3 linked regions of the Anolis sagrei genome follow. The protein of the gene in region 3 interacts with the protein of the main gene of each other region in a biochemical or structural test. Links are inferred from orthologs where the notes say so. Each region holds a gene or a part of one and is shown on either strand. Other genes may lie near its edges.

Region 1 (7,459 bases), on a different chromosome or scaffold from region 3:
GGGGTCTTCTTTCCCATTAAGAGAGAGAGAGAGATGGAGCCCCTGACCCAGCCTTGGAGGGACTTCCCACTCAAAATACAAACAGGCAGACCATTATTTTCAATCCTCCCCCCCCCTATACAAACCAAGGAAGGTCCAGAAGCCTCTCTCAATGGGGGAAGAGAGACCCCCTTTTGTGTTCCAAATAGAGGCCCAAAGGGGGTCTTATTTCTCATTGATGCCCAGCCTTGGAGGGTCTTCCCACCTGACATACAAACAGGCCAGCCTTCCTGCGACTTTGTCAATATCTTCATTGCCCCCTTGTAGAAACCAAGAAGAGGCCCAGAAGCCCTTCTCATTGGGGGAAGAAAGACCCCCTTTCCTGCCCCAATGGAGGCCCAAAGGGGGGGGGGTCTTCTTCCCATTGAAACCCAGCCTTGGAGGAGCTTCCCACCCAACATACAAACAGGCAGACCGAGGCCCAGAAGCCCCTCTTAATGGGGAAGAGAGATCCCTTTCCTGTCCTAGTGGAGGCCCAAAGGGGGGGGGGTCTTCCTTCCCATTGAAGCCCATCCCTGGAGGTCTTCCCACCCGAGAAACAAACAGGCAGATCTTCCTGAGACTTTGTCAATACCTTCATTCTCCCTCATTTATACAAACCAAAGAGAGGCCCAGAAACCTCTTTCAATGGGGGAAGAGAGAGAGAGACCCCCTTTCCTGCCCCAATGGAGGCCCAAAGGGGGGGTCTTCCTTCCATTGAAACCCAGCCCTGGAGGGTCTTTCCACCTGACATACAAACAGGCAGGCCTTCCTGTAACATTGTCATTATCTTCATTCCTCCCTTATACAAACCAAAGAGAGGCCTAGAAACCTCTCTCAATGGGGGAAGAGAGAGAGAGGGAGACCCCCTTTCCTGTCCCAAATGGAGGCCCAAAGGGTGTCTTCTTTCCCATTGAAGCCCAGCCCTGGAGGGACTTCCCACCAGACATACAAACAGGCAGACCTTCCTGTCATTATCTTCATTGCCACCTTTATACGAACCAAAGAGAGGCCCAGAAGCCCTTCTCAATGGGGAAAGAGAGAGAGAGACCCCCTTTCCTGCCCCAATAGAGGCCCAAAGGGGGTCTTCTTTCCCATTAGAGAAAGAGAGAGATTGAGTCCCCAACCCAGCCCTGGAGGGATTTCCCACTCGAAATACAAACAGGCAGACCTTCTTCATCCCCCCCCCCTTATACAAACCAACTAAAGGCTCAGAAGCCTCTTTCAGTGGGGGAAGAGAGACCCTTTTCCTGCCCCAATGGAGGCCCAAAGGGGTCTTCTTTTCCATTGAGAGAGAGAGACCAAACCCAGTCATAGGAAGGTTTCCCACCCAAGAAACAAACAGACAGACCTTCCTGTGACTTTGTCAATATCTTCATTGCCCCCTTTATACAAACCAAAGAGAGGCCCAGAAGCCCCTCTCGATGGAAGAAGAGAGACCCCCTTTCCTGCCCAATGGAGGCCCAAAGGGGTCTTCCTCCCCATTAAGAGAGAGAGTTTGAGCCCCCGACCCAGCCTTGGAGGGACTTCCCACTCGAAATACAAACAGTCAGACCATTATTTTCATTCCTCCCCCCCCTTAACAAACCAAGAAAGGCCAGAAGCCTCTCTCAGTGGGGAAGAGAGACCCCCTTTCTGCCCCAAATGGAGGCCCAAAAGGGGGGGTCTTCCCATTGAAGCCCAGCCCTGGAGGGTCTTTCCACCCGACATACAAACAGCAGGCCTTCCTGTGACTTTGTCATTATCTTCATTGCCCCCCTTATACGAACCAAAGAGAGGCCCAGAAGCCCTTCTCAATGGGGGATAGAGAGAGAGAGAGAGACCCCTTTCCTGCCCCAATGGAGGCCCAAAGGGGGGGGGGTCTTCCTTCCCATTGAAACCCAGCCTTGGGGGGGCTTCCCACCTGACATACAAGCAGGCAGACCTTCCTGCGACTTTGTCAATATTATCTTCATTCCCCCCTTGTAGAAACCAAGGAGAAGCCTTAGAAGCCTCTCTCAGTGGGGAGAAGAGAGACCCCCTTTCCTGCCCCAATGGAAGCCCAAAGGGGGTCTTCCTTCCCATTGAAGCTCAGCCCTGGAGGGTCTTCCCACCCAACATACAAACAGGCAGACCTTCCTGCAACATTGTCATTATCTTCATTACCCCCCTTATACGAACCAAAGAGAGGCCTTAGAAGCCCCTCTCAATGGGGGAAGAGAGACCCCCTTTCCTGCCCCAAATGGAGGCCAAAGGGGGGTCTTCCTTCCCATTGAAGCCCAGCCTTGAGAGTCTTTCCACCCGACATACAAACAGGCAGGCCTTCCTGCGACTTTGTCATTATCTTCATTGCCCCCTTTATACGAACCAAAGAGAGGCCCAGAAGCCCCTCTTAATGGGGGGAAGAGAGACCCCCTTTCCTGGCCCAATGGAAGCCCAAAGGGGGGTCTTCCTTCCATTGAAGCTCAGCCCTGGAGGGTCTTCCCACCCCGACATACAACAGGCAGACCTTCCTGCGACTTTGTCATTATCTTCATTGCCCCCCTTATATGTACCAAAGAGAGGCCTTAGAAGCCCTCTCATTGGGGGAAGAAAGACCCCTTTCCTGCCCCAATGGAAGGCCCAAAGGGGGGGGGGTCTTCCTTCCCATTGAGAGACATCGAGAGAGGCCCAAACCCATTCCGACAAATAGGCATCAAGACAGCCCTTGCTGCGTCGCCGACGTCTCTCCCTCTCCCTCCCCCTCCCCTTCTCAACCCAAGCAGAAGCCCCCAACCTTAGAAGCAGACCCTTCCCTCTCCAATGGAGACCCCCCCCCCCTCTCTCCCTCTTTCCTCTTTTCCCGAGGTAGGCCCAAAAGGGGGGGGTGCTTCATTTCCATGTCAGGGTGCGCCTCCCTTCCCCCTCCCTCCTCGCCCACCGTGTCCCCCCCTCCCCCCATCGCCGCCCCCTCCTCACCTGCACCCCGGCGGCGAGAGCGAGTGAAGGTGGAGAGAGAGAACATCTCCGCCCGGTCCGCCATCTTCGCAGAGACAGAGAGAGAGAGAGATGGAGGGATAGATAAATAGAGAAGGGAGAGATGGAGGCGGGGGGGGGGGGGCTGTCTTCCCCTCCTTCTTCACTGGGGCTGGGGGGGCTGCTTCTCCCCCTCTTGGGGCCTTTCTGTCTCTCGAGGGAGGCGCTGAGATCCGCCGCAGCCATGGCGCACCCGCCTCACCCTCCTCCGCCCCAGAAAAACACCGGAGGAAGGAAGGAAAGGAGGAAGAGAGGGAAGGAGAAAGGGAGGAGGAGGAGGGAAAGAGGGGGCAGCCAGGCCCCGCCCTTGGGTGCGGAAGGGGAGGGGGAGGGAGGGAGGGGAGGAGGGGCAGATCACAAGCAAGGGACACCCCCCCCCCGTGAAACAACTACGACGTCACCGCCAGACCCTCCTTTTTGGGGGGTGGGGGGGCGGCCTTGTCTGTGGCCTTCCTCCTCCTCCTCCTCCTCTCCTGCTCAAGGCAGGCAAGCTTGGCGCTGTCCCTCCCGGGAAGGTGCTGAAAGAGGGCGCTGTCCAGTGCTGAAGGGAGGAAGGAAAGAGAAGGATGGAAGGAAGGAAGGAAGAAAAGGGTGGAGGGAAGGAAGGAAGGAAGGCCAGGAGAAAGGAAAGGGGCAGAGAAAGGAAGAAAGGGAGGAAGAGGAAAGGGGAGGGAGAGAAGAAGGAAGAAAGAAGGAGAAAGGGAAAGGAGCAGAGGAAGAATTAGGGAAGAAGGAAGAATGGAGAGAATGGAAGGAGGATGGAAGGAAGGCCAGGAGAAAGGGAAAGGAGCAGAGGAAGAAGGAATAGTAGGAAGGAAGGAAGGAAGGAAGGAAGGAAGAAGGAAGGGGGGAGGGAGGGATGTGGAGGAAGGCAGGAAAAGGTAGGTTGGATGGATGGATGGATAGATGGATGATAGATGGAAGGAAGGCCAGAAGAAAGGAAAGAAGAGGAAAGGGGAAGAAGGAAGGAAGGAAGGAAACAATAGATTGAAGGAAGAAAGGAAAGGAGCAAGGGAAGGAATTAGAAGGAGGAAATAGGAAGGAATAGGGAAGGAGAGAAGAAGGAAAGGAAAGGAAGGAAGGAAGGAGAAAGGGAAAGGGGCAGAGAAAGAACAATGGGGAGGAAAGAGGAAAGGGGAGGGAGAGAGGAGAAGGGAAAGAAGGAAGGAAGGAAGGAAGGAAGGAGAAAGGGAAAGGAGCAGAGGAAGAAAGAATAGGGAGGAAGGAGGAAAGGGGAAGGAGAGAGGAAGGAAGGAAGGAAGGAAGGAAGGAAGGAAGGCCAGAGAAAGGGAAAGGAGCAGAGGAAGAAAGAATAGGGAGGAAGGAGGAAAGGGGGGAGGAGAGAGGAAGGAAGGAAGGAAGGAAGGAAGGAAGGAAGGAGAAAGGAGCAGAGGAAGAAAGAATAGGGAGGAAGGAGGAAAGGTGGGAGGGAGAGAGGAAGGAAGGAAGGAAGGAAGGAAGGAAGGAGAAAGGGCAAGGAGCAGAGGAAGAAAGAATAGAGAGGAAGGAGGAAAGGGGGGAGGGAGAGAGGAAGGAAGGAAAGAAGGAAGGAAGGAGAAAGGGAAAGGAGCAGAGAAGAAAGAATAGGAGGAAGGAGGAAAGGGGGAGGGGAGAGAGGAAGAAGGAAAGAAGGAAGAAGGAAGGAAGGAAGGAAGGAGAAAGGGAAAGGAGCAGAGGAATGAATAGGGAGGAAGGAGGAAAGGGGGGAGGGAGAGAGGAAGGAAGGAAGGAAGGAAGGAAGGAAGGAAGGAAGGAAGGAAGGCCAGGAGAAAGGGAAAGGAGCAGAGAAAGGAAGAATAGGGAGGAAGGAGGAAAGGGAGAGGGAGAGAGAAAGGAAGGAAGAAGGAAGGAAGGAAGGAAGGAAAAGGGAAAGGAGCAGAGGAAGAAAGAATAGGGAGGAAGGAGGAAAGGGGGGAGGGAGAGAGGAAGAGAGGAAGGAAGGGAGGAAGGCCAGGAGAAAGGGAAAGGAGCAGAGGAAGAAAGAATAGGGAGGAAGGAGGAAAGGGGGAGGGAGAGAGGAAGGAAGGAAGGAAGGAAGGAAGGCCAGGAGAAAGGGAAAGGAGCAGAGGAAGAAAGAATAGGGAGGAAGGAGGAAAGGGGGGAGGGAGAGAGGAAGGAAGGAAGGAAGGAAGGAAGGAAGGAAGGAAGGAGAAAGGGAAAGGAGCAGAGGAAGAATTAGGGAGGAAGGAATTGAGAGAATGGAAGGAAGGATGGAAGGAAGGCCAGGAGAAAGGGAAAGGAGCAGAGAAAGAAGGACTAGTAGGAAGGAGAAAGGAAGGGAGGGAGGGAGGGGAGGGAGGGAGGGATGAGGAGGAAGGGAGGAAAAAGTAGGTTGGATGGATGGATGGATAGATGGAAGGAAGGCCAGAAGAAAGGAAAAGGTGCAGAGAAAGAAGGAATAGGGAGGAAGGAGGGAAGGGGGGGAGGGAAGAAGGAAGGAAGGCCAGGAGAAAGAGAAAGGGGCAGAGAAAGAAGGAATAAGGAGGAAAGCAGAAAGGGGAAGAAGGAAGGAAGGAAATAATAGATTGAAGGAAGAAAGGAAAGGAGCAAGGGAAGGAATTAGAAGAAGGAAATAGGAAGGAATAGGGAAGGAGAGAAGAAGGAAAGGGAAGGAAGGAAGGAAGGAAGGAAGGAAGGAAGGAAGGAAGGAAGGAGAAAGGGAAAGGGGCAGAGAAAGAAACAATGGGGAGGAAGGAGGAAAGGGGGAGGAAAGAAGGAAGGAAGGAAGGAAGGAAGGAGAAAGGGAAAGGAGCAGAGAAAGAAAGAATAGGGAGGAAGGAGGAAAGGGGGGGAGGGAGGAAGGAGGGAGGGAGGGAAGGAAGGAAGGAAGGAAGGAAGGAAGGAAGGAAGGAAAAAAGGCCAGGAGAAAGGAAAAGGGGCAGAGAAAGAAGGAATAGGGAGGAAAGGGGAAGAACCTAAGGAAGGAAGAGCCTGATGGAAGGAAGGAAATAATAGATTGAAGGAAGAAAGGAAAGGAGCAAGGGAAGGAATTAGAAGGAGGAAATAGGAAGGAATAGGGAAGGAGAGAAGAAGGAGGAAATAGGAAGGAATAGGGAAGGAGAGAAGAAGGAAAGGAAGGAAGGAAGGAGAAAGGGAAAGGGGCAGAGAAAGAAAGAATAGGAAGGAGGAAAGGGGGAGGGAAGAAGGAAGGAAGGAGGGAAGGAAGGAAGGAAGGAAGGAAGGAAGGAAGGAAGGAGAAAGGGAAAGGAGCAGAGAAAGAAAGAATAGGGAGGAAGGAGGGAAGGGCCTGATGTAAGGAAGGAAATAATAGATTGAAGGGAGGAAGGAGAAAGGGGAGAAAAGGAGGGATGGAAGGAAGGAAGGCCAGGAGAGAGGGAAAGGGGCAGAGAAAGAAAAAATAGGGAGGGAGGAAGGAAGGGGGAGGGAAGAACAAAGGAAGCAAGGAAGGAAGGGAGGGAGGGAGGAATGGGGAGGAAGGGAGGAAAAGGTTGGTTGGATGGATGGATGGATGGAAGGCCAGGAGAAAGGGAAAAGTTCAGAGAAAGAAAGAATAGGAGGGAAGGAGGAGGGAAGAAGGAAGGAAGGAAGGAAGGAAGGAAGGAAGGAAGGAAAGAAAGAAAGAAAGAAGGAACACCTGATGGAAGGAAGGAAATAATGGGTTGAGGGAAGGAAGGAAGGAAGGAAGGAAGGAAGGAGCAAGGAAAGGAATTAGAAGGAAGGAAATATGAAGGAATAGGGAGGGAGGAAAGGAATAGGAAAGAAGAGGGAGGGAGGGAATAATGGATTGAAGGGAGTAAGGAGAAAGGGAAGAAAAGGAGGGATGGAAGGAAGGAATGTCAGGAGAGAGGGGGAAAGAAAGAGGGAAGGAGAAAATTGGGGGGGAGGAAGGAAAGGAGGGAAGAAGGAAGGAGCAAGGGAAGGAACAGGAAGTAAGGCATTGAGAAGGTGGAAGGAAGGAAGGAAGGAAGGAAGGAAGGAAGGAAGGAAGGAAGGAAGGAAGGCCAGAAGAGGGAGGGGTGGTGGAAGGGAAGGAAGAAAGGAAGAAGGAAGGAAGGGCTTAATAGGACGAAGAAAATGACTGGACTGATGGAAGGAAGGAAGGAAGGAAGGAAGGAAGGAAGGAAGGAAGGAAGGAAGGAAGGCAGGCAGGCATAGGAAAGAAGGAAGGAGGGAGGGAGGAAGAAAGAATAGAAAAGAATAGTGAGGGAGGAAAGAATGGACTGAAGGAAGGAAAGGAACGGGAAGGAAGGAGGCAAGTGAGGAAGGAAAGAAAGGAGGAAGGAATAAGAAGGAAGAGGGAGAGAGGGAAGAAAAAGGATGGATAGATGGAAGGCCAGAAGAAAGGGAAGGATTGAGAGAATGAAGGAAGGGATGAAAGAGGCAAGGAAGGAAGCAGAGAAGGGAGGGAGGGCTTAATGAACAGAATGAAGGAACGAGTGGATAGAAGGAAAGAAGCAGGGAAGGAGAGAGGGAGGAAGGAGAAATA
Region 2 (7,729 bases), on a different chromosome or scaffold from region 3:
TTATTCCTATTTCTATTATTATTATTATTATTATTATGTTTATATATACCCCGCTTTATCTCTCCCGAAGGATATTATTATTAACTATGTTATCACTTATATTGTTATTACTATATTATTATTAATATGTTATTATTACTATTATTAACATATTATTAACATATTATTACTATTATTATTATCTCTCCCAAAGACGACTCAAAGCAGTTTACATGAAATTATTATTATTATTATTATTATTATTATTAGATGTATTTATATACCATTTATCTCATCCAGAAGAGACTCAAAGCGGCTTATTCCTATTCGTATTTGTATTTTTATTTGTATTATTATTATTATTATTACTATTATTATTTCTCCCAAAGAAGACTCAAAGCGGCTTACATGAAATTATTATTATTATTAGATTTATTTATATGTAGCATTTTATCTCATCCGGAAGAGACTCAAAGCAGCTTATTCTTATTTGTATTATTATTATTATTATTATTATTATTATTATTATTATGATGTTTATATATACCTCACTTAATCTCTCCCAAAGGAGACTCAAAGTGGCTTACATGATATTATTATTATTATTATTATTATTATTATTATTAGATTTATTTATATACCATTTTATATACCATTTTATCTCATCCGGAAGAGACTCAAAGCGGCTTATTCGTATTATTATTATTATTATTATTATTATTATTATTATTATTATTATGTTTATATATACCTCACTTTATCTCTCCCAAAGGAGACTCAAAGTGGCTTACATGATATTATTATTGTTATTGTTATTATTAGATTTATTTGTATACCATTTTATATACCATTTTATCTCATCCAGAAGAGACTCAGAGCGGCTTATTCTTATTATTCGTATTATTATTATTATTATTATTATTATTATGTTTATATATACCTCACTTTATCTCTCCCAAAGGAGACTCAAAGTGGCTTACATGATATTATTATTCTTACTATTATTAGATTTATTTATACTTCATTTTACACATATTATATTGATAATAATGTTGTAATCCAATACAATATAATACTACTAATAATACAATATAATAAATATAGATTTTATATTACCTGTATTATTACTAATAATATTATAGTATGGTGGTATAGTACAATATTGGAATGTATGGTACTAATATTTATATTACATGTATTATTATTAATAATATTATTATAGTATAGTGGTATAGTACAATATTGGAATGTATGGTATTAATATTTATATTACATGTATTATTACTAATCATATTCTAGTGTAGTGGTATGGAATCTATGGTACTAGTATTTATATTACATGTATTATTACTAATAATATTCTAGTATAGTGGTGTAGTACAATATTGGAATGTATGGTAGTAATATTTATATTACATGTATTATTATAACTAATAATATTATGTTATAGTGGTATAGTACAATGTTGGAATGTATGGTACTAAAGTTTATATTACATGTATTATTACTAATAATATTATAGTATGGTGGTATAGTACAATATTGGAATGTATGGTACTAATATTTATATTACATGTATTATTATTAATAATATTATAGTATAGTGGTATAGTACAATATTGGAATGTATGGTATTAATATTTATATTACATGTATTATTACTAATCATATTCTAGTGTAGTGGTATGGAATCTATGGTACTAGTATTTATATTACATGTATTATTACTAATAATATTATAGTATAGTGGTATAGTACAATATTGGAATGTATGGTACTAATATTTATATTACATGTATTATTACTAATAATATTATATTATAGTGGTGTAGTACAATATTGGAATGTACGGCACTAATATTTATATTACATGTATTATTACTAATAATATTCTAGTATAGTGGTGTAGTACAATATTGGAATGTACGGCACTAATATTTATATTACATGTACTAATATTTATATTACATGTATTATTACTAATAATATTATTACAGTATAGTGGTATAGTACAATATTGGAATGTATGGTATTAATATTTATATTACATGTATTATTACTAATAATATCTAGTGTAGTGGTATGGAATGTATGGTACTAGTATTTATATTGCATGTATTATTACTAATAATATTCTAGTATAGTGGTATAGTACAATATTGGAATGTATGGTACTAGTATTTATATTACATGTATTATTACTAATAATATTATTATAGTATAGTGGAATAGTACAATATTGGAATGTATGGTACTAGTATTTATATTACATGTATTATTACTAATAATATTCTAGTACAGTGGTATAGTACAATATTGGAATGTATGGTTCTAATATTTATATTACATGTATTATTACTAATAATATTCTAGTATAGTGGTATAGTACAATATTGGAATGTATGGTACTAGTATTTATATTACATGTATTATTACTAATAATATTCTAGTATAGTGGTATAGTACAATATTGGAATGTATGGTACCAATATTTATATTACATGTATTATTACTAATAATATTATTATAGTATAGTGGAATAGTACAATATTGGAATGTATGGTACTAATATTTATATTACATGTATTATTACTAATATTATTATTATAGTATAGTGGTGTAGTACAATATTGGAATGTACGGCACTAATATTTATATTACATGTACTAATATTTATATTACATGTATTATTGCTAATAATATTATAATATAGTGGAATAGTACAATATTGGAATGTATGGTACTAATATTTATATTACATGTATTATTACTAAGAATATTCTAGTATAGTGGTATAGTACAATATTGGAATGTATGGTACTAATATTTATATTACATGTATTATTATTAATAATATTATAGTATAGTGGTATAGTACAATATTGGAATGTATGGTGCTAATATTTATATTACATGTATTATTATTAATAATACTATAGTATAGTGGAATAGTACAATATTGGAATGTATGGTACTAATATTTATATTAAATGTACTATTACTAATAATATTCTAGTATAGTGGTATAGTACAATATTGGAATGTATGGTACTAATATTTATATTACATGTATTATTATTAATAATACTATAGTATAGTGGAATAGTACAATATTGGAATGTATGGTACTAATATTTATATTACATGTATTATTACTAAGAATATTCTAGTATAGTGGTGTAGTACAATATTGGAATGTACGGCACTAATATTTATATTACATGTACTAATATTTATATTACATGTATTATTGCTAATAATATTATAGTATAGTGGAATAGTACAATATTGGAATGTATGGTACTAATATTTATATTACATGTACTAATATTTATATTACATGTATTATTACTAATAATATTATTACAGTATAGTGGTATAGTACAATATTGGAATGTATGGTATTAATATTTATATTACATGTATTATTACTAATAATATCTAGTGTAGTGGTATGGAATGTATGGTACTAGTATTTATATTGCATGTATTATTACTAATAATATTATTACAGTATAGTGGTATAGTACAATATTGGAATGTATGGTACTAATATTTATATTACATATCATATTATAGTATAGTGGTGTAGTACAATATTGGAATGTATGGTACTAGTATTTATATTACATGTATTATTACTAATAATATTCTAGTATAGTGGTGTAGCACAATATTGGAATGTACGGCACTAATATTTATATTACATGTATTATTGCTAATAATATTATAGTATAGTGGAATAGTACAATATTGGAATGTATGGTACTAATATTTATATTACATTCATTATTACTAATAATATTCTAGTGTAGTGTTATGGAATGTATGGTACTAGTATTTATATTACATGTATTATTACTAATAATATTATATTATAGTGGTATAGTACAATATTGGAATATATGGTACTAATATTTATATTACATTCATTATTACTAATAATATTCTAGTGTAGTGTTATGGAATGTATGGTACTAGTATTTATATTACATGTATTATTACTAATAATATTATAGTATAGTGGAATAGTACAATATTGGAATATATGGTACTAATATTTATATTACATGGATTATTACTAATAATATTCTAGTGTAGTGTTATGGAATGTATGGTACTAGTATTTATATTACATGTATTATTACTAATAATATTATATTATAGTGGTATAGTACAATATTGGAATGTATGGTAGTAATATTTATATTACATGTATTATTATTACTAATAATATTATGTTATAGTGGTATAGTACAATGTTGGAATGTATGGTACTAAAGTTTATATTACATGTATTATTACTAATAATATTATTATATTATAGTGATATAGTACAATATTGGAATGTATGGTACTAATATTTATATTACATGTATTATAATATTATAGTATAGTGGAATAGTACAATATTGGAATGTATGGTACCAATATTTATATTACATGTATTATTATTATTAATAATATTATAGTATAGTGGTATAGTACAATATTGGAATGTATGGTACTAATATTTATATTACATGTATTATTATTAATAATATTATAGTATAGTGGAATAGTACAATATTGGAATATATGGTACTAATATTTATATTACATGTATTATTACTACTAATATTATTATAGTATAGTGGTATAGTACAGTATTGGAATGTATGGTACTAATATTGTGCTGTGCCTATAAATGTCGTAAATAAGGCATAACATTTGTCCCCATTTCAGGTCTGCCAATGACCCCACATCGCGAGAGGGAAGATGTCCCGCCTAAGGTGATGTTGGCGACCTAGTTGTGGGCATGAGATGAGGTTCCGGCAACGCCATGGAGCCCTTGAAGAACATGTTCCGGAAGGCGACTCCGGCCACCTGGGGCTCCAGCCTCCGTAGCGGCGGTCCCGTAGCCTACGCAAACCCGGTCTGGACGGCACTCTTTGACTACGAAGCGGCCAGCAGCGACGAGCTGACCTTGCGGAAAGGCGACCTGGTGGAGGTGCTGTCGTGGGATGCGGCCATCTCGGGAGACGAGGGCTGGTGGGCCGGCAAGGTCAACGACAAAGTGGGCATCTTCCCTTCCAACTACGTCTCGCCCAAGACAGGGGGCTACGTGGGGCCCGAGGGGCCGCCCGAGGCCGACTTCCGCGACCTGAGGCTGGAGGAGGTCATCGGGGTCGGGGGCTTCGGCAAGGTCTATCGGGGCACATGGTGCGGGGAGCTGGTGGCGGTCAAGGCGGCCCGCCAGGACCCGGACGAGGACATCGGCACCACGGCCGAGCGGGTGCAGCAAGAGGCGAGGCTCTTCGCCATGCTGCAGCACCGCAACATCATCGCCCTCAAAGCCGTCTGCCTCCAGGAGCCGAACCTGTGCCTCGTGATGGAGTACGCGGCCGGGGGTCCGCTGAACCGGATGCTGGCCGGCCGCAGGATCCCCCCACACATCCTCATCAACTGGGCCGTCCAGGTCGCCCAGGGGATGCAGTACCTCCATTGCGGGGCCATCGTGCCCGTCATCCACCGCGACCTCAAGTCCAACAACGGTAAGTGGTATTCTGGCATGAGTCTTTGTGGCTGGATGGCCATCTGTTGGGAATGCTTTGATTGTGTCTTTCTGGACCAGATGACTCTCCCGTCTCTAGGATTCTACACTGGCCATTTAATGCAGTTTGAAGCTAGCTACATAACAAATTATTATTATTATTATTATTATAAACTACAAGAGAGGAGATTCCATCTGAACATGAGGAAGAACTTCCTGACTGTGAGAGCTGTTCAGCAGTGGAACTCTCTGCCCCGGAGTGAGGTGGAGGCTCCTTCTTTGGAAGCTTTTAAACAGAGGCTGGATGGCCATCTGTCAGGGGTGATTTGAATGCAATATTCCTGCTTCTTGGTAGAATGGGGTTGGACTGGATGGCCCAGGAGGTATCTTCCAACTCTAGGATTCTATGATTATTGAGTTGTAAGTTTTTTTGGCAGTATGTCCATGTTCTAGAAGCATTCTCTCCTGACGTTTCGCCTGCCTCTGTGGCAGGCATCCTCAGAGGTTGTGAGGTCCTGACAACCTCTGGGGATGCCTGCCATAGATGCAGGTGAAACGTCAGGAGAGAATGCTTCTAGAACATGGCCAGACAGCCCGAAAAACCTACAACAACCCAGTGATTCCAGCCGTGAAAGCCTTCGACAATACATCATGGGTTGGTCTGGATGGCCTTTGGAGGTCCCTTTCAACTTTATTATTATTTTGTGTTGTTGTTGTTGTTGTTGTTGTTGTTATTATACTTTGGATGAAGCAGATTGGCTATTAGGATGGCAGAACTGGGTTGGTCTGGATGGCCTTTGCGGGTCCCTTCCAACTTTATGATTATTTGTTGTTGTTGTTGTTGTTGTTGTTGTTATTATTATTATTTTGGATGCAACAGGATGGCTATCAGGACAGCAGAACTGGGTTGGTCTGGATGGCCTTTGGAGGTCCCTTCCTACTTTATGATTATATTGTGTTATTATTATTATTATATTTATACCCCACTTTAACTCTTGCAAAGAAGACTCAAAGCGACTTACATTAAATTGTTATCATTATTATTATTATATGTATTTATTTATTTATACCCTGCTCAATCTCTCCCAAAAGAGACTCAAAGCAGCTTACATTAAAGTATTATTATTATTTGAGTCAAAGGAGACTTCCATTAAATCATCATCATCATCATCATCATCTATTTATATTATTATATTTACTTATATCCCACTTTGTCAAAGGAGACTCAAAGCTGCTTACATTAAATAATAGTAATAATAAAAATTATTACATTAAATTATTATTATTATTATTCAATTATATTATTATATTTATTTATACCCCACTTTATCTCTCCCAAAGGATACTCAAAGCGGCTTACATTAAATAATAGTAATAATAATAATAATAATAATAATAATATTTATACCCCACTTTATCTCTCCCAAAGGATACTCAGTGGCTTACAGTAATAATAATAATAATAATAATAGTAATAACAATAATAATTGGGTTGTTGTAGGTTTTTTTGAGCTATATGACCATGTTCTAGAGGCATTTTCTCCTGACGTTTCGCCTGCATCTATGGCAAGCATCCTCAGAGGTAGTGAGGTAGGAGAAAATGCCTCTAGAAAATGGCCATATAGCCCGAAAAAACCTACAACAACCCAGTGATTCTGGCCATGAAAGCTTTCGACAATTCAATAATAATAATAATAATAATAATAATAATAATAATAATAATAATGATAAATTTATACCCCACTTTATCTCTTCCAAAGGAGACTCACAGCAGCATACATATAATAATAATAATAATAATAATAATAATAATAAATTTATACCCCACTTTATCTCTCCCAAAGGATACTCAAAGCAGCTTACATTAAATAATAATAATAATAATAATAATAATAATAATAATAATATATTTATACCCCACTTTATCTCTCCCAAAGGATACTCAAAGCAGCTTACATTAAATAATAATAATAATAATAATAATATATTTATACCCCACTTTATCTCTCCCAAAGGAGACTCAAAGCAGCTTACATTAAATAATATTAATAGTAATAATAATAATATATTTATACCCCACTTTATCTCTCCCAAAGGATACTCAAAGCAGCTTACATTAAATAATAATAATAATAATAATAATATATTTATACCCCACTTTATCTCTCCCAAAGGATACTCAAAGCAGCTTACATTAAATAATAATAATAATAATAA
Region 3 (6,888 bases):
GACTGCCAAGGCTCTCTCCGAGATGGCCTGCCAGCATGTCATAGGCCGACCCAAGACCCCTGGTGCAGGAGGGTGCCAAAACCAACTGATATCACCTTCCTCTTCTCCTATTCTAGAATGGAAGGACAAAGAGCAAGGCTGGGCACTCTTTGAGAAGATCTGCAGATTCAGGGCACACACTGAGAGCGCCAGCTTGATTTACACAATCTACACTGGACAAACCATCTTCAAAGTTGCAAAGGTCCTAACTGTGCTAGGCTACACCTACAGTTATGTAGGATCCATTGCCTTTAAACACATTTGCTGGTTAGACACAGATAACCTCATTGGCTACTCTACCTTTCTTTGTACCCATAGTTTGGCTTCCATTTTGCAGAAACTGATGGCTACTTATTTATTCTTGGTGTTCCTCTATGGGCTTGTTGGGATGTACCCCCTCTTATGGCTGGTACGACAACCGCTGCTCAAGTATTCTTTTAAGCAAATGCAAGAAGGCAGCCACTTAATTGACATCCCAGAGGTATACAATGATTTTGCTTTCCTGCTGCACATGGCTGACCAGTGTGACCAACTATACTCATGGCGCTTTGCCATCTTCCTTTCAGCAATGAGTGGGAGCTGCCCTTCAGATGCTGATCTTGACCATGATTTGGGTATTGGAGGCTGGAGAGGACATAATTTTCTTACCTTACTTACCAACACACAAACGCTTCCCAAATCAAAGCTTGGTAAAGTTCTTTTATGGGACACCCCCCAGAATCTCCCCACACCCACAAGTGTCTGGCAGAAGCGGTTGGGGACTTGCTGTCTAAAGAAGTAACTCTTTAGTAAATCCACTGCAAGGGGATTTGGGGACTCGCTGTCCAAAAAGTAACATTTTCCAGGCTACTGAATAAGGACTCTAAACTTTCCACCAAACCCATCATTTCCAATATCATAAAGGACAACACACCAGAACAACTCAACTCTTTTGAAAAGAGTCAAAGAGACAAGATGATCCACATCTGTCTGGTTTTAAGTTTTCTTTTTCTTCCAGTCAGGGCAATTTTTGGTAATGTTATGTTTCCATAAATTCTTAAGACACAATAGGCGAGCAAAAGATATATGAGACTTGTGTCACTGAAGGACCTAAGTGGGAAAAACATTCAGATCATACGAAGAAATGTCACTAAAACACTGCAGCAGCCTAGCAATTATTAAGGCAATTGGAAAAGAGGAAGCTTACTAATGGACTAGTAGTGTGGTGTAAAGTAAGATATAGCTTCTTACATGATATTAACTTCCCACAATGTACCCAATTTGGGAAAAAAAACACAAGGAAAATTTTACAGGAATATAAAAAAGTCGGTTTTACTAATGGGAAAGTCTATTGCCACTAAAAGTACTGTTAATACATAGGAGCTCAATGTTACTGTTGTACCTTAGCATAACATAGTATAGTATTTTCAGATGTCACCAGACTCCACTGGCTGCCTGTCTATTTCCAGGCACAATTCAAAGTGCTGGTTATGACCTAGATCAGGCATGGGCAAACTTGGGCCCTCGAGGCATTTTGGACTCCAACTCCCACATTTTGTAACAGCCTACTGGCTGTTACGAATTGTGGGAGTTGATGTCCAAAACACCTGGAGGGCCCAAGTTTGCCCATGCCTACCTTAGATGGTTCAGGTCCAGGCTATTTGGCTGACTGCGTGCCTTTGTACAAAGCTGTCTGAGTCCTGCGATCTTCAGGAAGGCCCTTCTCTCAGTCCCACCTCCACTCCAAGCTTGGTTTGTGGGGACAAGAGAGCGGGTCTTCCTTCTCGGTGGCTGCCCCACGACTCTGGAACTCCCTTCTACCCAGCAAAGGCAGATTGGCTCCCTCCCTGCTGTCCTTCTGGCGGCAGGCTAAAACCTTCTTCTTCAGGCAGGCTTTTAAAGAAGAAGGCCTTTAAGATCATTTCGGGGGGTGCTGTGGTTTTATATATTCTTATGGTTTAAATCTGAATTGTTTTTAATACTGATGATGTTTAATACTGTTTTAATATTTTTAAATTTTAAATTATATTGTAATGCTTTTAATGCTAGATGCTTTGAGTATCCTTATGGAGAGAAAAAGTGGGATATAAATAAACATCATAATACTAATGATATTAACAATTTTGTGATCCCTGATGTCACCAGCTCCCAAGAGACTGTAACTACAGCTTGGTGGCAATTCTTTTTCTTGGATGGTGCATTATTTCTTAACATGCCTTTTCTATTAGAAGTCCAGTCTTCCCCTTTTAAAAATGTGAGACAGAGATTCAAAGCAACTAACAAAGACCTAGTTCTCTGAGCTTTCAAACTGGGTCTCTTTAATCATTGTGTTACAAAAAATATGTACTGAGGCATCTATTGGTATCTGATGTATCTCACAATGACAGCATATAAAGCAGCTTCTCAAATGCCACAGACTGTGATCCCCAGTGACACTTTATTATGAAGTCAAAAATGGTACCAAGTTGTTTGTTCCTCATTTTTATTTCTTGCCTTCCTATTTGATTCATCAAGTGGGATCTGGAGGAAATGTGTACAGAACTGGAACTGCAGATATGCTATTTTTCAGGATTACAGGCAAGAGAGACACATACCAAGGATATTCCATTCTGACTTTCTGGTTTTAATTTCCAGTTGACACGCAACATTAATTTGGTTTCAAAAATACATAGGCAAAGGTTGAGACTCTCAAGCGGATACACTGCTTTCTGCATCACCATTTTGGCCACAAAGCCTCCAGGGAGTCCTTCTCTACTTGGGCATCAGAGACAGCACTGTGTTGCCTCTCCCGCCAAAAAGGTTTGCTAGAATCAGCCAAGATGATCCCACTTCTGCTCCAAGCTCCTGCAATCCTATGTTTTCCCAGAATCTTGGGGATTGTAGTTTTACAAAGACTGCTGGTGCTTCATCAAATCACAAAATAATAATAATAAACTCTGGCACAAGCCAGTCAAGGTGGTCCCAGTGGTGATCGGCACACTGGGTGCAGTGCCTAAAGACCTTGGTCTGCACTTAAACACAATCGGTGCTGAGAAAATTACCATCTGCTAGCTGCAGAAGGCCACCTTACTGGGATCTGCATGCATTATATGCGGATACATCACACAGACCTAGACACTTGGGAAATGTCCGACGTATGATCCAATACAACAGCCAGCAGAGTGTCTGCTATGGACTCATCTTGTTGCATTTCAAATAATAATAAAAATTAATATCACTTAATATTCTTTATATTCAACATTTAATGTTATTTAAAAATAATAATAATAATAAACAAGTGTTTCGATTTGTGATTTTGTGATACGAAATCCAGCATATATATCTCGTTTGCTGTGACACACTGTGTCAGTAAAATAATAATACACTTTTATTTATATCCCGCCACCATCTCCCAGAGGGACTCGGGGCGGCTCACACATGTCACTCAAAGTGTGACATGCAAAATACAACAAGTGCAAAATAAAACATAAACAATAAACAGTCAACACAACATCATACATTCACTATACCCCCTGGCAAAAACAATAAAATACAGAAATAAAGGATGCATACAAGTGGTATCAAACTGCATTACTTCTCCAGTGCAGATGTACCCAGTGTCTGAAAGAAAAGCTAACTTCTCTGCGACTTCCAGACGTGCTGCTCCTGTCCCTGAGAAAGTGGGGGAAGCGCATGCGCGGCAGATCTCCAACACGTCCCGTAGACCGAAGTAGACGTTCGAGCCCGGCGCATGCGCAAGAGAGGAGACTGCCAGGCAAAACAAGCGCCGGGCAAAGCCGGAGCCCAGCCTGGTTTGCGAAGGAGGAGGAGGGCGGGGGGAGGAGTACGGCGGCCGGGTTGGTTCATGTGGCGCCTGCGCAGTGCGGTGTTTGTGTATTCTGGCTGCGCGGTGGCGGCGTCGGCTCCGGGGGAGGGGGAGGGGGAAGATGGCGGCGTCCTCGCTGGAGCAGAAACTGTCCCGCCTGGAAGCCAAGCTGAAGCAGGAGAACAGGGAGGCCCGGAGGCGCATCGACCTCAACTTGGAGATCAGTCCGGCCCGGGCTCGGCCTAGTAAGGGAGGGCCTGAGGGGGGAGCGCTTCCGCGGAAGGGCCCAGTGTCGGGTGGGACGGGCGGCGCGGAGGAGGGCGCCTGAGCCGAGGGGAGGCCTGGCCTCGCTTAAGCAGGGGCTCGGACTGGGCTGGCGGGGCAGGAGGACTGAGGGGAGAAGTGGGGCCGGGGAAAGAAAGAGAGCAAGGCGTGTGTGTGGGGGGAGATCTTCGTGGCGAGGGAGACTCTCATAGCAGACAAGGCCGGCGTGCGGCGGGGGAGCCACATGCCTGGACTGGCCCTTATCTTTCAAGGCGACCGGTTCAGGGGGAAGGAAGGAAGGAAGGAAGGAAGGAAGGAAGGAAGGAAGGAAGGAAGGAAAGTGTCAGGAGCAAAAGGGGTGGGCCACAGAAAGTATACAGATACAGATAAAGAGATTATCTTGAACCAATGTGTTTTGTGATGGGGCAGGAGTTGTGGATGATGGCAATCAGAAATACTTTTTCTTTAAAGATGTGGGGGTCCCCTTAGTTCAGTGTTGGGATCACAACATTTAGCAACAATAAAAGGTCAATGTGTTGTCGAAGGCTTTCATGGCTGGAATCACTGGGTTGCTGTGAGTTTTCCAGGCTGTATGGCCATGTTCCAGAAGCATTCTCTCCTGAAGATTCGCCCACATCTATGGCAGGCATCCTCAGAGGTTGGAAATTCTGCAACTGAGGTTTATATATCTGTGGAATGTCCAGGCTGGGAGAAAAACTCTGGTCTGTTTGAGGCAGGTGGGAATGTTGAAACTGATCACCTTTAAATGGGGCCACAAAGTGAATTCCGTGACATGCGAATGTGGAGAAGAGCAAACCACAGACCACCTATTACAATTCAGTCTGAGCCCTCCCACATGCACAATGGAGAACCTTCTAATAGGCACTCTAAGTGACAAGCTACTGTCAAAGGACATTTAATATAATGCTTTGTGTGTGTTTTTAACTTTGTGTTTTTAAATACATTGCAACTGTACCCTTGGGCTGCTTCTGATACAATAAATAAATGAAAACCTTAATTTCAACAGAAAGGAGGAAACCATGAAAAAGAACAAAATCTGGCTACCAGTATTAAAAAACTCTAAAATCAGGACAGTTAATAAAGAACAACATTCACAAACGGGAATTCCAGACAAAAAACAATCAGGGCCAGCTAATTACCTCCTAACAAACTATTCCCCCAGGCATGAAGCAGCCAAACTTGGAAGCTGCAAGGTTATTCAATGCTACTCAAGTTGATCAAGTGCAACATTCACAGTTGCCTCCAACTGACAAGAGTTTTTTCTCCCATCTTGGACATTCCACAGATATATAAAACCCACTTGCCTAGTTTCCAACAAACCCCTCAACCTCTGAGGATGCCTGCCATAGATGTGGGTGAAACATCAGGAGAGAATGCTTCTGGAACATGGCCATACAGCTCATTAAACTCACAGCAACCCAATAAAAGGTTAATTCATGATGTCAGTGTTATTTTAGACATTTACACAAATGTTAGTAAGAACATTTGTGTTTACAGTGGACTCTACAGAAAATACTTCAGCTGCATTTCATAAGAAAGGAAAATCAGACTGTTTAACTAGCCTTGTAAATGCAGATTTTTTATCTGTGAATTTTTATTTCTTTTTTATACCTATTTTATATACCTTTATAGCCGGGGTTGCATAAAACTTTCAAAGGCAGAAAGAGGTTGCAAGTGGGAAAAGTTTAAGAAACCCTGGTGTAGTGAAACAAATTACTTGGGAGAACTGGATTTGGGATCCCTCAGATCACAGCACTGGAAGGAGGGGTTGGGGGTGGATTGAAAGTTTGGTGTGCAGAAATAGCTACAAGTGAAGTTCAGTTCAGAGTCATTCTGTCATATTTGTCTAATATTTTTGTATGGATGAAAGTTTACAGATGTTTTAGAATAATGAACTAAATTCTAACTTAAGAATTAGAAAAGTCTTGAGTGTAAGTGTCAGACAGTGTTCCTCTGATTTCTCATACCTACAGTATAGGCCTTTTTCCTTGGCTGAAATTAAAGAGTCTCTGCTTCCCTGCATCCTGTTTTCAGTTCTGAAAACAATGGTACAGCATTGTCCTTGAAGAACAGTCTAGTTAATATTGTCTCTTGGAGCAAGGTGCTCTCTGTTGTGAGGACTTTTCTGGACTACAGTGATGTTTTTGCGATCCGCATGCAGTAGCCAAATGTAGAATAAGTTAAGAACATAAGAAGAGCTACTTGGATGAAGCTCATCAAGTTAGGCATGTAGTTCCTACAATGGACCAACCACATTTCTATGGGGAGCCCTTAGTTAGGATGTAAATGTAGTATTGCTATCACATTTATATTCTCCAACAACTGGTCTTGAAATATATACTTCCTTTGATACTAGAAGTAGTTTGTAGCCTCCAAAATGACTGGTTAGTGATAACTATATCTTCCATGACGTTACCTAATTCCTGTTTATATATTTTCACATTTATAGCAATTGCTGCATATTGTGGTGGCATATTCCCTAATTTAAATATTTGGTGTGTGAATAAATGTTTTGTCCGGTCTGTTTTGAATTGCCTACAGTTTGGTTTGCTTGAATAATCCAGCGTTTTAGTAATATATGAGAAGATGAAAAGCTTTGCCTGCCTGCTTTTTGCCCACTTTGCTTATATGTATACATACACATCAGGAGCCTTCCTGCTTACCACTTCTCCAGGTTTTGTTTTCTTAAACCAAATGTTGTAACTTTTTCTCCTAGGGAAATGGCTCTAATTATTTTATTATTTTGATTGCCCTTTCTGCGCCTTTTGAAGTTGTACTAT

The links. The genes of interacting proteins can lie anywhere in the genome.
Region 1: the proteins of MAP2K7 (region 3) and MAPK8IP2 form a complex in vitro, tested with the Homo sapiens proteins (2 studies listed by BioGRID). The link is inferred for Anolis sagrei from reciprocal best matches to the Homo sapiens genes MAP2K7 and MAPK8IP2.
Region 2: of the proteins of MAP2K7 (region 3) and MAP3K11, one has a biochemical effect on the other in vitro, tested with the Homo sapiens proteins (2 studies listed by BioGRID). The link is inferred for Anolis sagrei from reciprocal best matches to the Homo sapiens genes MAP2K7 and MAP3K11.

The regions. Positions count from the first base shown.
Region 1 is NC_090025.1:199,415,043-199,422,501, forward strand, and holds the start of MAPK8IP2 (C-Jun-amino-terminal kinase-interacting protein 2), read right to left. Parts: upstream 3,020-7,459; coding exon 2,956-3,019; intron 1-2,955. UniProt on the Homo sapiens protein: The JNK-interacting protein (JIP) group of scaffold proteins selectively mediates JNK signaling by aggregating specific components of the MAPK cascade to form a functional JNK signaling module.
Region 2 is NC_090032.1:20,098,341-20,106,069, forward strand, and holds the start of MAP3K11 (mitogen-activated protein kinase kinase kinase 11), read left to right. Parts: upstream 1-4,710; 5' UTR 4,711-4,801; coding exon 4,802-5,513; intron 5,514-7,729. UniProt on the Homo sapiens protein: Activates the JUN N-terminal pathway. Required for serum-stimulated cell proliferation and for mitogen and cytokine activation of MAPK14 (p38), MAPK3 (ERK) and MAPK8 (JNK1) through phosphorylation and activation of MAP2K4/MKK4 and MAP2K7/MKK7.
Region 3 is NC_090022.1:112,614,090-112,620,977, reverse strand, and holds the start of MAP2K7 (dual specificity mitogen-activated protein kinase kinase 7), read left to right. Parts: upstream 1-3,888; 5' UTR 3,889-3,944; coding exon 3,945-4,068; intron 4,069-6,888. Other genes in the region: volume-regulated anion channel subunit LRRC8D-like, read left to right, coding at 1-820. UniProt on the Homo sapiens protein: Dual specificity protein kinase which acts as an essential component of the MAP kinase signal transduction pathway. Essential component of the stress-activated protein kinase/c-Jun N-terminal kinase (SAP/JNK) signaling pathway.